2 linked regions of the Elephas maximus indicus genome follow. The protein of the gene in region 1 interacts with the protein of each later gene in a pairwise test. Links are inferred from orthologs where the notes say so. Each region holds a gene or a part of one and is shown on either strand. Other genes may lie near its edges.

The links.
Region 2: the proteins of LPXN (region 1) and HOXC9 interact in binary tests that used the Homo sapiens proteins (3 or more experiments, as listed by UniProt). The two-hybrid records come from large-scale screens. The link is inferred for Elephas maximus indicus from reciprocal best matches to the Homo sapiens genes LPXN and HOXC9.

Annotation. Positions count from the first base shown.
Region 1 is NC_064825.1:120,442,016-120,449,178, forward strand, and holds the start of LPXN (leupaxin), read right to left. Parts: upstream 3,015-7,163; 5' UTR 1,395-3,014; coding exon 1,343-1,394; intron 1-1,342. Other genes in the region: E3 ubiquitin-protein ligase ZFP91, read left to right, coding at 6,500-6,849. UniProt on the Homo sapiens protein: Transcriptional coactivator for androgen receptor (AR) and serum response factor (SRF). Contributes to the regulation of cell adhesion, spreading and cell migration and acts as a negative regulator in integrin-mediated cell adhesion events.
Region 2 is NC_064822.1:109,519,529-109,527,224, reverse strand, and holds the start of HOXC9 (homeobox protein Hox-C9), read right to left. Parts: upstream 3,008-7,696; 5' UTR 2,923-3,007; coding exon 2,385-2,922; intron 661-2,384; coding exon 416-660; 3' UTR 1-415. UniProt on the Homo sapiens protein: Sequence-specific transcription factor which is part of a developmental regulatory system that provides cells with specific positional identities on the anterior-posterior axis.

The sequences.
Region 1 (7,163 bases):
CCCCCTCAGGAGCAAGAAAAAATGAAGAAAACTAAAAGATACAAAGGAATGATTCATCTAAAGGACTAACGGACCACACCTACCTTGGCCTCCACCAGACTGAGTCCAGTACAGCTAGATGGTGCCCAGCTACCACCACTGACTGCTCTGACAGGGATCACAACAGAAGGTCCCGGACAGAGCTGCAGAAAAATGTAGAACAAAACTCTAACTCAAAAAGAAAGACCAGACTTGCTGGCCTGACAGAGACTGGAGAAACCCTGAGTGTATGGCCCCCAACACCTTGTCAGCCAAGTAATGAAGTCACTCCTGTGGCTCATCCTTCAGCCAAAGATTGGACAGGCCCATACAACAAAACAGACTAAAGGGGTGCACCAACCCAGGGGCAAGGAATAGAAGACAAGAGGGAACAGGAAAGCTGGTAATAGGGAACCCAAAGTTGAGAAGGGAGAGTGTTGACACGTCATGGGGTTCTTAACCAACGTCATAAAACAACACGTATACTGTTAAATGAGAAACCAGTTTGTTCTGTAAACTTTCATCTAAAGCACAATAAAAAAAAAAAAAGGAAAGAAAAAAACTAAAGTAGAAAGAGAGTGAGACTTATTGTCTTAGAATGTTGGTAGGCAGGTTGAGAAAATTCAGGAATTCCAAATTTTTATTCTGTCTCATTTGTATTTTCTAAGCTTTGCTCCAACCAGAAGTCAAAGATCCTTCTGGATTCAAAATAAAAAGTCATTTACAATAAAGGCTGGGGGAAAGGGGAGACCCTGTATAAGAGAAGTAAACCATACCACTAAGAGTAGGGGTTACGCTTAGAAGCACGAGCTAGCCAGAATTATTAAAACTCTCCCTTTTGGGCTGTGAGTTAACAGGCCTTTCTCTTCCTGTTTTCTGTGAGTCCACATATCACCAACATACTGAGGTCATCTTGCCAGATTTTGTAATTTGAACATGACTAATTTCACTATGACAAATACAGGGCTACCAGTGGTGGTGGCAGAGGGGACGGGAAGATAGTGGTTGGGACAAGACTGAAAACTCTATAGCCCTTTATCTCACCGATAGCTCCAAACCCCCTCCAGTAATGAAATATCAACATTAAGAAGAAAGGAGTAAAGTGGGATCTCTCAGGAGTCCCCATGAGCTGCAATTTCACAGTCTGCTACTGGTTCCCTTTATGTAGCACACCTGTGTATTGAGAATTTAGGTAAAATCTTCTGGGTAGATAAAAGCTACTAACCTAGGAAGTTCTACAGAGGGAATATCTGCCCCTTTGTGCTAATCTGCCTTCAGTGCTATATGCCTGCAGAGGAGAAGAGGGACCCACCCGAAGACTTACAAGTAGCTATTAGGCTGATGACAATATGAAGAAGCTGTTCAGGTGTCGACATCAACAGCTACTGAGGTGTAGCCATCTGGATAATCTACACAAACGTTAGCTTCCAGGCTGCTTGGTACTTTCTGTATTTCTAGACCAGATTTCTCTACCATTCGTCTTGCTCAGGAAATGCAAAACTGTGCAAATCTACTTGTTTTTTATTATGTGGGTTGTTCCATTGGGGGGAACACCTGAGCCAATGCACTTTTCAAAAAAGGAGAAATGCCTTGTAACTTAATTGGCTTTGGCGTCAGATGCTCCTGAGAGTGACCTTGAAGAAATGATTTCATTTTTTCCTGGTTTCTCATCTGAAAAAAAGTGAACATTACCTACTACAGAGGGTTGCTGCAGACCCTAGAATGATTCGCATATATAAAAATGCCTCACTTTAGCCTGAGACACTGAATAAACATTAGTTCCTGTTTGAATAACCTACATGAAAACTATTAGGTATGCCTAAAATTTAAAAAAGTAGAGAGAGAGAGACAGAGAGACTACTGGAACTTGGCAGAAATGTAGATATCCCCAACCCTCACACACAGGATAAGAATTTGGATTCTACCCCAAGTCCAAAATGCATCTATCCCCAAGGATCAAAATAGACTTTACATCAACAATAGTTCGATGTTTGTTAAACAACACCTTCTCCTCTTCATTCAACGGTCTTCTCTTTATAAATTGGAATCAACTCGACAGCAGTGGGTTTTGGTTATTTGACTTTCTTGCATCCTCTATGTGCCCAGCCCTCAAATCACACCCCCAAAACAATTAGGAAAAAAAAAAAAAAAAGGACAATGTCCAATATGTGTTTTTTGTTGTTGTTTACACTTGCAACACGCTAAAGCCCAGGACACTGTAGAATTAATACAGCTTGGAAATTGGGTAAAGGTTAGGGAGTGACTTGGTGTCAGCAAGGATGCTGGAACAAACATTGGCAAAGCCTAAAAAAATAAGTCCCAAGAATGATAGGCTTTACTCCAAAGGTCTGAAAGCGGGACCTCCCCAGTTAAAGTGGCTAATCGTTCCACTGCTGGTTTTAATTGCCTTGTGGTGGGAGGAGGTATCATGTTTGTAGGCCATAGTAATCTGTTCCTTCAGAATTCCTCTGAATAAAAAGCTTAGTGCCAAAATCACTGATTCAACACTAATCCAGAAACAAAAACGAAACCACCTTGGCTTTTCTCCAGCCTCTGCAGATCCCTCATTCTTGTGCTTCGACTCCATTTCTCTTCCTCAAAACACCCTTTCCCCTTCTCCATTTTCTTTCTTCCTTTCTTCCCCCCAAATCGCATCCCTGTAGCTGTGTGACTACCCTATAATCTCCTGTATCTCCCAAGGGGCAAAATGCCCATGTTAAAAATGACAGTTTCAATCACGACTCAGTCCAAAAGTATTTCTGTAAAGTTTACCCTGTGGTTAGCACCAAGCTCTCTGTTGTGCTACTACAAAGAGTGAACCTGGCTTTCCCCCAAACAATCATAGTTCCTCATGTCTCACTCTTGGTTGGCCGAAGAAAGCAGAGAAGTGAAAATAAAATCTCCGAGTACTGCTGTCAATCTGGCTAGAAGTACATCCCACCATACATAGACAGGGCAGCCAAGTCTTCATTCCCTCAGTTTCTCCTCAAAGCAGCTCCACTCACCCAACTCTTCCATTGTCACACACCCAAGATACTCTGGTCCCACAGGTTGTAAGGAACTGCTTTTGCATGTGCTGAAGAAGAGGACCACAAAGGAACTGAATGAGACAGCATGAAGCAGCCTCTATAACCCTTTCTGGTTCCTGTATTTGCTTAGCACTTCCTCTCTTTTGATTTGGTGATTTTTTTTTTTTTTTTTTGGTAGGTCACAGTTTTAAAATGAAATAGGACATAGGCAGGTTGTAAGATTTGAATTCCTGTGGTGGACTGGCAAGGAAGAGTCAAAATAATTTAGCAAAATTTCACTACTTACTACATGCCAGAACTCATCTTTAAGTCATGGAAATGGCAGATTTGTGCTTGTGTATTTTCTCAGTGTGGGTCCCACTGTGACTGTACATCAGGAAACTTGCTTTCTTCTGTGAACGTGGGTGACAATAGAGGCACAGTGATCATAAAATTTCCATCAGAGCTAACCAGCACCCAATTCATTTTGTTGTCTTTTTTTTTTACTTCATTATTCAGAAATTACACTTATCCCTTTCCTGAATAAATTGTAAATCCTTAAAAGGCAGGGTTGATGTTTATTCACATTTGCATTGCCAGGGCCTGGCTTATTTCAGGGGTTCAAAAGTCAAACATCTATAGAGGGCCCGTCATCAGAAAAGATCATATTTGGTAAAGTGGTACTGTTTTTGTTGGCTGCTGTTGAGTCAACACTGACTCATGTGACCCCATGGTAAAAAGGGAAATCCAACATGAGATGGATCAACATGGTGGCTACAGCAATAGGCTCAAACATAGGAACGATTGTGAGGATGGTCCAGGATAAGGCACTGTTTTGTTCTGTTATACATAAGGTCACCATGAATAGCGCCAACTCAACAGCCGCTAACAGCATGAAAAAAGAAAAATGAAACTGGAAGGTTTAAGACAACAGGTGCTAAACTGGTGACATCTCGATTCAGCAAACTTCCTGCCTAGCTGCATTGCCTTAGAGCAGTTTCTTTGCAAAGTGATACTGAGGTTAACTTTCACCTTTTTACCACTGAGATTTTACTCACCTTGAATGAAATAAAAATTTACCAAATGAGTCAGAGAAGGCAGTATGTAAAGAACTACAATTAGGGTCCTGTGAAATAAGTATTATCACCATTTTTACCAGCGGTGAAATAAGTTCAAGGATAGTAACTTGCTTGACAGAATTAGTAGGTAGCTTTGTTAGCTACGTACTATAATCCAGTTTGACTTCAAAGTCCATCATCTTTTCTCTACAACACAATGTTCTCTTTTTAGGTTAATCTAAAGAGATCATTCATTTTCCATTCCATTGTGTCTGTAAGACTTTTTTGTTTTTTTAATTAAAAGATTCCCGTTCTGCATTACTCCCAGTAACCACTGGATGTCAGTGCTGTTCCAAGAGCCTGCTCACTGCAAGCATGGGTATGAAAAAATTTCCATCCACACTCTATCAAACAGTTTTTACAACTGAAAATGACATTAGTTCTATGAAAGTGCAAAACACTCAGTAGAGAATATAAAACATTTGCCTAACCTTAAGTGGTAACTGAGCCAAAATACTGGAAGGAAAACCGCACTTCAGCACTTGGCTGGCAAGTAACTGCACTGCATCTACAGTTTAACTGAATTTTTAACGTGAAATCTAGAATAGGATCCCAGATCCTGTTTCCATTCTCATCCTTCTGGGGCTTTTAACCTCGGATGCTTTATTTTCCAGAGTTAAAGGACTGTTCTTTCAAATCGTTCCTTGAGTATAACGGTCGAAAGAACGAGATGCAAGAGGCCAACTGCATCACTGATTGCAACTTAGAAATGAGCAAATGGAAACTCCCTTTTGGCGCATCAGGACAATTTAGTTACACACGGTATTGGGCAGACAAATAACTTCTCACAAAGCTGCAATTCTGTGTTTCCTGTGCAGTTGAAACATTCATAAACCGCAGGTGTCTTCGGGACAGGAAGCATGAGGTAGACCTTCAGCTTCCCTGGGGAGGTCACCTGAGACACGCTAACAACCGTTTGCCCTTCCCTCCATCTCAGGAACCACAACCCAAAAGGTATGCAGCAGTCGCCAGCTTCTTGATGCCCTAACAACGTCTGGTAGAGAATCAATTCTATAATTCGTTCCACAAACTTTTATTAAGAGCTGACTGAATGCTAGGCATTGCGCTAGGCCCCTCAGGACCTAGCCAAATCAGATTCAGTTCCTGCTTTCCAGAGGTCCACAGGCTAGTAGATCAGAAACAGGATGGCAACACGAATAATGTAGACATGAACCCTAGCCTGCCCCGGGGGAGATGCCAAGGGAAGAAGCATTACGCCAACGCTAAAGAAAAAGCCCAAAACAACCCTCGCTGACCAACAGCTCCCTCGCCACTTGGGCTGGCACTGCGCAGGCGTCACGCCCCACCCCGGAGGCACTGCCAACCTAAAACCCAGTGCCGTCGAGTCCCTAGAAAAGTAAAATCGGACCGCGGAGAGTAAACTACTTTTCCCATGGAGCACCAGTCACCAGCACCAGCACCCTCTCCGTCTCGGTTTCTTTTTTTAGCCGCAGGCCAAAGTAGCTAGGACTTCATATCCCAGGGTACCTTTGGGAAAGTTAACCATACGCATGCGCCAAGAGGCGGGCTCTCATTGACCCCCACGACCCCGCCTCCGTTCTACCACCGCCATTTTGTTGAGACTTTCATCCGGCAGCCGACGGGACTTTTTTTCTTAAAGGAGAAGCGACAGCTGAAAAAAGTCCCCCGTCACTGTGCAAGACCTGGCGACGCTGGGGATAAAAAAGCCAAAGACAGGAAAGTGGGACTCAGGGTGGAGGCAGAAGAACGACCAGACTGTTTCCACGAATTGAGGCTAGAAAGAGCCCTGGTGGCATTAGCGGCTCCTAAGGCAGGTGCGCGCGCAGCCAGTCCAGGGTGCGCGCCAGGCGGGGAAAGAGGTGCGTTTTCTTCCTACTAGCCTCCCTCGCGAGACCTGCCCCTCCCACCACCTCTAGCGCCCGTTGATCTCCGGAGCGGGGGGGGGGGGGGAAGGTCACTTTCGGATTGTCGCGAGACGCAGCCGTTTAACGGTGAGAGTGGGTGCGCGGGGAAGGAAACCTCGCGCGCTCCCTTGAAGCCGTTTCCTGATTGGTCAAAGAAAGGGGTGGGGGAGGAAACCCGGTACGCCGCTGCGTGAGAGGCCGACAGGGGCGGGGTCACAAGGCCGTTCCTCCTCTCCGATTGGTCCGTGGAGCGTCCGTGTCGGGCGCGCGCGCGGCGCCAGCGGCTGCGGGCAGTGAGTGGCAGGGGGCGGGGGGGCTCCCTCGGAGCTGGGAGGAGGGGAGGGGGAACAGGAACGCAGGGTGAGAGTGAGCCCGAAGCTCCGGGAGGCGAAGGGGGCGGGGGGAGCAGCGCCGCAGCCGCCTCCGCCTCCGCCGCCTGGGACGAGGGGGTGGGGACGGACGAGCCCCGATGCCGGGGGAGACGGAAGAGCCGAGACCCCCGGAGCAGCAGGACCAGGAAGGGGGAGAGGCGGCGGTGGCTAAGGCGGCTCCGGAGGAGCCCCAGCAGCGGCCCCCTGAGACGACGGCGGCGGCGGCGCCTGCGGGGACCACTAGCAGCCGCGTGCTGAGGGGAGGCCGCGACCGGGGCCGGGCCGCTGCGGCCGCCGCCGCCGCTGCTGTGTCCCGCCGGAGGAAGGCCGAGTATCCGCGCCGGCGGAGGAGCAGCCCCAGCGCCAGGCCTCCCGACGCCCCAGGGCAGCAGTCCCAGGCCGCGAAGCCCCCGTCTCCAGCTCAGGGCAAGAAGAGTCCGCGACTCCTGTGAGTAACGCAGTGTTTCAGGCGGTGGGAAAGACCCCCCTGTCCGCACGCAACCCTCCCGGCTCCCGTAGAGTCCACTCCACGTGACATCCTGCCTGCTCTGCCCCCTGCCGGCTCCGCACGCCTAATGTCACCCTGCTTTCCCAGTTACCCTTCCGAGCACTCCCCTCCGGCCCCCCATGCCTTCTGCCTTTTGGGGACACTTCCCGACTCTCTGAAATCATCCTTTGTGGAATACACCCCTCCCTGTCCCCAGTGGCCCACTTGTCTGCCGCCGTAGGCTTATTCCGCGCTCTGGCAACTGCACGTCTTTG
Region 2 (7,696 bases), on another chromosome or scaffold:
CACACAGAGCGCCCCAGGCCTGGAGAAGGATGACCCGGACCAAATACGATACAGGAAAGAAAAAAAAAAAAAAAAGAAATATAGCGATTCAAGTACTGGCTTCTCTGAAAAAAGGAGAAAAAAAAAACACATTTGTGTGTGTCATTTATTTCAGTTGCGCTGGGGGAAGAGAATGTGGTTTCTCTCCCTGCCTCCTCCTCGCTGGGTAGAACTAACTCTAAAACACCAATTTCTCAATACTGAACCCTCCCAAATCGCAAGAGTTTTCCTTTTTTTTTTTTTTTAAGCTGATTAGCTTTTCTCTATCTTGCTCTTTCCTTTTCTTTTTCGTGCTCTCTCCCGCTTGGGTTGGGGTATTTTTTGGGGGGTTTTGTTTTTCCCTTGGCTGTGCCGAGGCAGCAGGCCCGGGCAGGGTTTAGGATTGCTCCTTGTCGGTTTTCTCCTTATTCATCTTTTTCATCTTCATCCTCCGGTTCTGAAACCAGATTTTGACCTGCCGCTCGGTGAGGTTGAGAACCCGGGCCACCTCGTACCGACGGTCCCTGGTTAAATACATATTGAAGAGAAACTCTTTCTCCAGTTCCAGCGTCTGGTACTTGGTGTAGGGGCAGCGCTTCTTCCTCGTGGAGCGGGCGTGGATCCAGTTGGCCACGGGGTTGCCTGGAGGGCCAAACACAGGCAGGGGTCAGTGGAGCCCCCGTGCAGCCCAGGATCCCTGTCACCCTTCCCCCAGGCTTAGCCAGGCTCCCCAAACCCAATAATTGAACCTGAATTTGGACACGTTTTGGTTTAGGAATTTTCTCCCTTCCTCCTTTTGCGTTCTGCCCCCTCCCTATCTCCCCCCCCCTTTTCAGTTTCCAGCACCTAAAACTGTAGGAAATCTGAAGCTATCAAAGCCCCTACGATCTGGTCCTCAGCTTCAAGAGTAGTAATTCGAGAATATCCTCATAAAAAGTCCAAATTCCCAACCGTTTCATAGGCCCATAAACGCTTCTCTCTCTTGTTTTTTATTTTTATAGCGAGGTCTCTCTCCTCCCCACCTCCCTCCTCCTCTGCCCCCTCCCATCTTCCCAGCCCACGACCAAGTCCTGAAATTTCAGCAGTTCTGTTTCCTGACCCTGAGAGTCCCCAAGCCCATCGTCACCCTCTGCAGTGCTTGTTTCTGCTCAGAGCTCTACCCTGCTGAGGCGAATTCTCAGGGTGACGCTGGGACAAGCAAAGCCTTGCTCCCCTCCCCAGAGAGCTGCTGGCTTTGGGGACAAGCTCCCCTATATCTTAGCTTCCCTGCGTGGCTTCCAGTGTCCCTCTTCTATCAGCCCCAGGACAGGCTCCTCAGGAGCCAAGCCTCCAATTTCAGGTTTATGGGAGTAGCTGAGGGCAGGGAGGGAAGCCTTCAGAGGGATATAATTAGGCCCTGGCCCCTTATGGGGCTGGAGGGAAGATTTCCTGCAGCCTCCTCCTGGGACACCCCCAGACACTTCCTCACACCCAGGGGGCTGCATCCCTCCCCTGTTCTTTCCCCTTCTTTCCGCTGTTCTAGCCCTGCAGCTCCCACATGCCCTCCACCTCCCCCAGCCCTTCTTTTGCAATATTCAGAAGGCCCCTGTCTCCCTGACTGGAGTGTGTGTGTGTGTGTGTGTGTGTGTGTGTGTGTGTGCGCAGAATTCTCTAATCTGGGGAGGTGCCTCCCTGCTCCTCATCCCTAACCCCTATTCTCAACCATCCCTTCTGCAGATCGTCAGAAGAGGTTCTCAAGTTTAAGGAGACTCGGGATCCCACTGCTCTCCCCCAACTCTGGAAGTCCTCATCTCTTCAAGTTCCCAGACTGCAAAATCCCCCAGACCCCTCACCCCAGTGCTCCTGGGGCAGGAAAAGTCCATGGACCTCCTGTTTTATGAGTCTCTAGTGGGGTGGTGAGGACCCCCAGGCTGGCTGGGAGGTTGGAGTGATTTTTCTCCCTAGGGTATATCCTCTCTGTCCCCAGTGTCCTCTCCACCTCTCCCCCCCGTCCCATCTCAAACTATAAAATGAACCTCGCCTCTGCCCTACTCCCTGGCCCTGTCTGCATTTCTTCGAAAGTGGTCACTGAGCCAAAAAGCTTGGGGTAGGGGTTGGGGGGCAGAGGTCTCTCATCAAAGTCAGTTCCTGGGAAAGGAGCCCCCCTCGGCCCTCTCCCAACCTGGCTCCCTGGGCCCCCTTCTCAGACCTTCCTGTCCCTGAAAGCTCCTCAAGGTAATTCTCTTTTATTGAGTCCTCTCGTCCCCTCGCCCTCGCCCCTCTCCCGCGCTCCCTGAGCGGCTCCGAGGGGCTGTAATCCAGCTCCCCCCGCCCGTCCTCCCCTCCCCTCCCGCGCCGGTTGTAAAGGAAAATTGCTCCCAACTTACTGGGGTCCAGGTCGGCCTTCTCCTCTTTGTGCTTGCTGCCGGCGAGGGCGTCCGCCTCGGGCGAGGGCAGTGTCTGCGGGGCGCGGTCGCGCAGCTCCCCGGGCGAGCCGTACATGTAGTCCGGGTAGCTGCGGCCATCGCCCGGGCCGCAGTCGGCGCGGCGTCCGGGGTAGGCGTCGGGCTTGAGGGCGTAGTGACGGCCCCCGGCCGGGAAGCTGGGGAAGGAGACGGCGCCGGACAGCGGCTCGAGCCAAGTCCGCATGTAGCGCGTGTCGGCGCCGAGGTGGGGCTGGGGGCCGTACGGGTGGTATACCACGGACGACTGCGAGGGCACGGGCGCCCACGACGTGCTGAACACTGCCGGCTTGGGCGCGAAGCTACAGGACGGAAAATCGCTACAGTCCGGCACCAAACCGCTGGGTCTGGCGGCAGCGGGGTGAGCCCCCGTGGCCGGAAACCTGGACGCTAGGAGGTCTTCATTGTCGTGAGAGATGAGCGAGTCCACGTAATAGTTACTGATGGGCCCCGTCGCCGACATCGTAACAGGGTTTTACATACATAAGATTATTGTATGAACTGTATATGTACTTTTTATCTGCTCACAGAACAATCAAGGCAGGTAATTATTTTTCCAGCCTTTTCCCCGCAGCTCATTGGCTCCCCGGCCCCCACGTGATCGTATTTACCCAAAAATACGGCGCGGATCAATGCGCAGGGGCTTTTTTTTTTCCTTGCTTTTTTTTTTTTTTCCTTCTCCCACCCCCTTCTCTCTGCTGATCCCCGCGACCTGCGTTTTCCTGGGGTCCGGAACTCTGGGCCCAAGGCGCCGGCCACCCCCTCGGGAAGGCTCCTATAGCATCAGAAAACCCCTTGCCCATGCCCACCCACAAGTAGATGGCCTCCCCGCCCCCCCATGAGGATTTTCTAATGGGGTGAAAATGCCAGTCCCCGAAGCCACGGTCCCCGGACCCCCAGGGCCGAGCAGACGCGGGAGCCCCACAGGGGCGGGGAGGCCGGCCGAGGTAGGTGGAGGAACTATTTCTTGACGTAATCTGTCTCTGTCGGGCCCGACGCTCCCGCAGTCTCTGCGCGAGCCCAGATCAGCGATTGTCAATTCCTAACGTGGCTTTTTTAAATGCGTTTTTAAATAGTGTGTATGTATGTATTTCTTCCAGGAGCAGCAGCAGCGAGGGAGGGAGGGAGTGTGGGAGGGGACTGGGGAAGCTGGGGTGGAGGGAGGGAAGGAGAGAAAGGGGAGCGTCCTTCTGCCACTGGCCAACTCAGCCCCCCAAATCTGGGGTAGGGGAAGCTTGGGGAAAGTGGTCCGCGGTAGGAGGGGTGGGGGTTTGGGACCCCAAACACCTTTATCATCAGCCTCAGAAGTCCTCTCTTCGCCTTGGCACAGATGTGCAAGAACCTTTATTTTAAATTTATTGTCTAATCTTTCTTTGCCAGCTTGAAGAAGTAGAGGAGAGACTTACACAACTTAAGTGGGGCATCGCCATCCAGTCTTCCTGCTTACCCTCTTTTGCCCCCAACTCCATCGCTGAGACACCCTCCCCTCCCCAAAAAAGAAGTCAGCTCCCAGGCTCTGTCTGCAGAGAGCCAGGGTGAGCGCGGGGAAGGCGAAAGGGAGACCTCGGTCGTGGGCAAGTAGCTTGTTTTTACGTCCTTCAATAAAAATTTTATGAGGATCATTTGATTGTTCATAAATGTGTCTTTCATTAAATAAAATTGTAGGCTGTTTTTGGAACGGAGAAAAAGGCAATGGAAGGCTGGTAGAAAGCAATTTCTTTGGGGTCGGATGCAGGAATTCCGGAGGGGGCAGTATGATTAAAAGGGGAAGAGCAAGCAACTTGGAGTCCTACCCCCAGTAAGTTGGTTGCTACCCTCCTCCTTGAATTGGGGTTCATTGCCTAGCCTCCTGCTTTTCATCAGGTTGTCCAGGGATGGCTGAGGAAAAGGAGGCTTTAGATATGCAGGAAACTCTCAGTGTGGAGCAGGAGAGGGGGCAGGGAGGTTGGCTGGAGGAGAGGGACAGGTGAGATGGAGAATTGATCCCCAGAGACACAGTGCACCCTAGGCAGAGCAGAGCAAGTTTGAAGGAGGGGTGCAATTTCAGGGTCAGAGGGGAGGAGACCCAGTCTGTGCTCAGGGAAATGGGCTGGAGCTGAGGCAGAGACACAGGCTCTGAGGCGGCAGGGAAGGAGGAGGCTTCCCAGACCCCAGGCGCCTGCCCTTCTTTTCCTCTCTTGTCCCCAGGAGGGGACCAAACACCAGGGGTGGGGGCGGGGGCTGGTAGTCTCCTGCTTCTCTGTCGACCTGTGTCTCCTGGGGTAGAGATAGGTGTCCCAGAGTACCTGTGTGTGTTGGGGGGGGGATTTGGGGGGGTTGGTAGAGCTGTAGCCTGCAGCATCAACCCCAGCCCACCAGGCCCCCACCCCACTCTCTGCTCCTCCCCCTCTTGGTTCTTTCCTTTTCGGTCTATCCGGGCTGGGATTTCCAGGCATGGGGAGGATGAGGGAAGCACCTGGCTGGGGAGAGGCAACCTGGGGCCTCAGCCTGGTAGTCCTCAGCTTGACTGTCTCCCCCCCCCCCCCCCCCCCCCCCGCACCAGGCTTGACAGGACTAGGAAATCCAAATTGCAGCAAGATACAGAGTATCTCTTTGGCCTTGATGGGGTAGGGTTAGCTGTCAATCAAAAAATAACCCTCACTAGTTCAAGGAAAAGACTGGAGGTTCCTGTCCCCCTGCCGAGGCTTTCTCCAAATCTCCAGGACCCACAGCACCTCCCCCAGCCCTCGGCAGCTGGGGACCCTGCCCGGCTCTTGGGCGGCTGCTGGAAGCAATGAGCAGGGACATTTAGTCTTTGGCGGGGCCCGGGGCCAGACTGCGACCAAGAGGACGTCAGGGGACAGAGGCTGGGAAAGACTGAGCCGGAGACAGACCAACTGAAACGCGGCGCCAGGCCCGCAGAGAGGAAGGGAGGAAGGAAACAAGGAAACGGAGGGGTTAGGAAAGAAAGAGAGACAGACGAATTAAGGGAAAGAAGAAAGGCAAGAGAAAAGAGCGAGCGGGGAAGGGAAGGCATGCAGAGAGAGAGGCTGGGGAAAGGCGGCGTTAGCAGGCAAGAGGCAGGCAGGACCGGGCAGGGCGCGAGCTGGCGGAGCAGCCATGGCATTGTGCAGTCCGCTTGCCGGGCCTTTGCCGCTGGACCGGCTCCGGGCGCGGCGGCCACTTCTGTCCGGACACAAAGGAGGAAGAGGCCTCCTCTCCTGCCCCTCCCGACGACCTGCTTGGGTGGGCACACTAGGCCTCCGGGATATAGAACCCCATTTCTGGGCAGGCAGTCGCTTAGGCGGCTGGGGGCTGAGCCGCATTCTAGTCAAGGAGCTGAAGAAGGTTTCACGTTCCGCTCCTCTTTAGCGTCTTCTCCAGGAGGCAGGGCCCCTCTGCCCCGAGCCTCAGCTTTCCTGGGGGGAAGACGCCCCTAGTCACCCTCTTCTATGGGGTTCGGCTATTTGGAGAAGCCCCTCAAATAGACATAGTCTTCCTAAACAGACGCCCTTTTCTCTCCTACCCCCTTTGGCCACCGCCTGCTTTTCAACTCTTAAGCTGCCTGCACACCCTGCCTGCCCACCCGGTGGAGGCGGCAGCAGTGAGGCAGCCTGATCCCCGGCCTGCGCTCCCTGCTGCCTTCAAATCCTCCGTGAAACCGAGGGGAGATTGTCGCCTTCCTTTCAGAGCCTGAACTCGGACCCTCCCCACTCAGGCGCAGGCACAGCTGTGGATCAGGAAGCAGGCCTCGCCCACACCCTCCTCCTGCCAATGCCCCATTCCGCCTATGCCTTGTCAAGAGAGGCAGCCTTGGGGAGGGGGGTGGAAGAGCCTGGGAGTCCCCTGCCCACCAGGCCTGAAGCTTCCACAATTGCATGTAGGTTGTAGTTCCCATTCTCCTCATTTGGAGGTGGGGGTGGCAGGTCAGAGATCTTAAACAGGCCTCCACGGTCCCCCCAAATCCAGGCTTGTGGGTGTGTAGGCACAAAGGATGTGGGGGGCACCCGGAAAGAGGGGCTCATCTTCCTGGATTCAGTTACTCCCTCTAAATTTCCTGCCAGATTCCACAGCTCCCTCTTACCACCACTACTCTCTTCAATTTCCTCAGCACCGCTGAGGCAAACCCGGAGGGACTGGAGGCCGCTGGGAGTCCCTGTTGGGGAGGGGGGAAACCCCAGCTTTAGCTTGGAGCTCTGCATTCACTCTGGTTTTAAGAGCTCCCTTCCCACCCCAAAAGATGTCTCACTGGGCACAAGAGAGTCCCCTAAGGGGGTGGGGCATCCTTACTCCATCACCTCAAGCCAGAGCCAGCATCGCGGGAAGGACAGACAGTAAGACAGGCTAGAGTCGTTCCTCCTCCTGCCCCTCGCCTCCCTTTTAGTGATTTAAATTCCCTCCGGTTCAATCCGCACTGTCAAGTTCGGATTAAATTTAAAACAGGCTTTTCCCGGGGCCCCCAGCGGGCCATCCCCAGCCGCCGCAGGCAGGGAGCCCTCTCTCCAGCTCGTCAGCACCCGCCCTGTGCGGAGGAGGCCGTGCTCCGTTTGCTTTCATTTTCCTTCTCCCCCTGAAATGGGCTCATTTCACCTCCTCTCCGCTGCCCTCTTCCCCTCCCCGCCCCCTCCCCGGTTCCCCTCTACTTTCCCCCCTTCTCTCTCCTGATCCCTCTTTGTTGGGAAAAAACACACCCACACACAACTCCTCCTAGCTCAGGCCTGCGCTGGAAGAAGAAACTGAGTTCTCCTGGCCTGCCGCGAGGAGACCCGCGTCCTGCCCCACCCCAGGTGGGTATCTGGGATCCCTTCACACCAGGAGTTAGGCTCTCGAGCCCAGCAGGAGTGAAACCCTCAGGGACTGTGAACGTGGCCCTCTCAACGCCACGGCCTGCAGGGCTTGCCTTCCCGCCCGCCGGCGCCCCCGCCCCGCTGCCCCGCAGCAAAAGGGGCTATTTCCGGCTCCCCCAACTGGTTCTAGTTTCCCAGCGCAGGGAGTGACTGGAGGGCGAGTAGCCCCAGTGCTAAGGGTGCTCTCTGCTCAGTGCCTCCATGGCCCTGAGCGGTTGTTACCTGATCTTTTGTGTAACGTGCGTGTCGCAAGGAAATTTGCAGTGACTTTGGAGCCTAGACAGAGAAAGCGGAGGTGGCGAAAGGAGAGACAATACTAGGCCGAAGTACAATCAAGGAGCCAGATCCGCTAGTCTCTCACCCGCCTGCCTGCCTGACCGGGAGCTGTCTGGACTCAAACCTCAGGGCGAC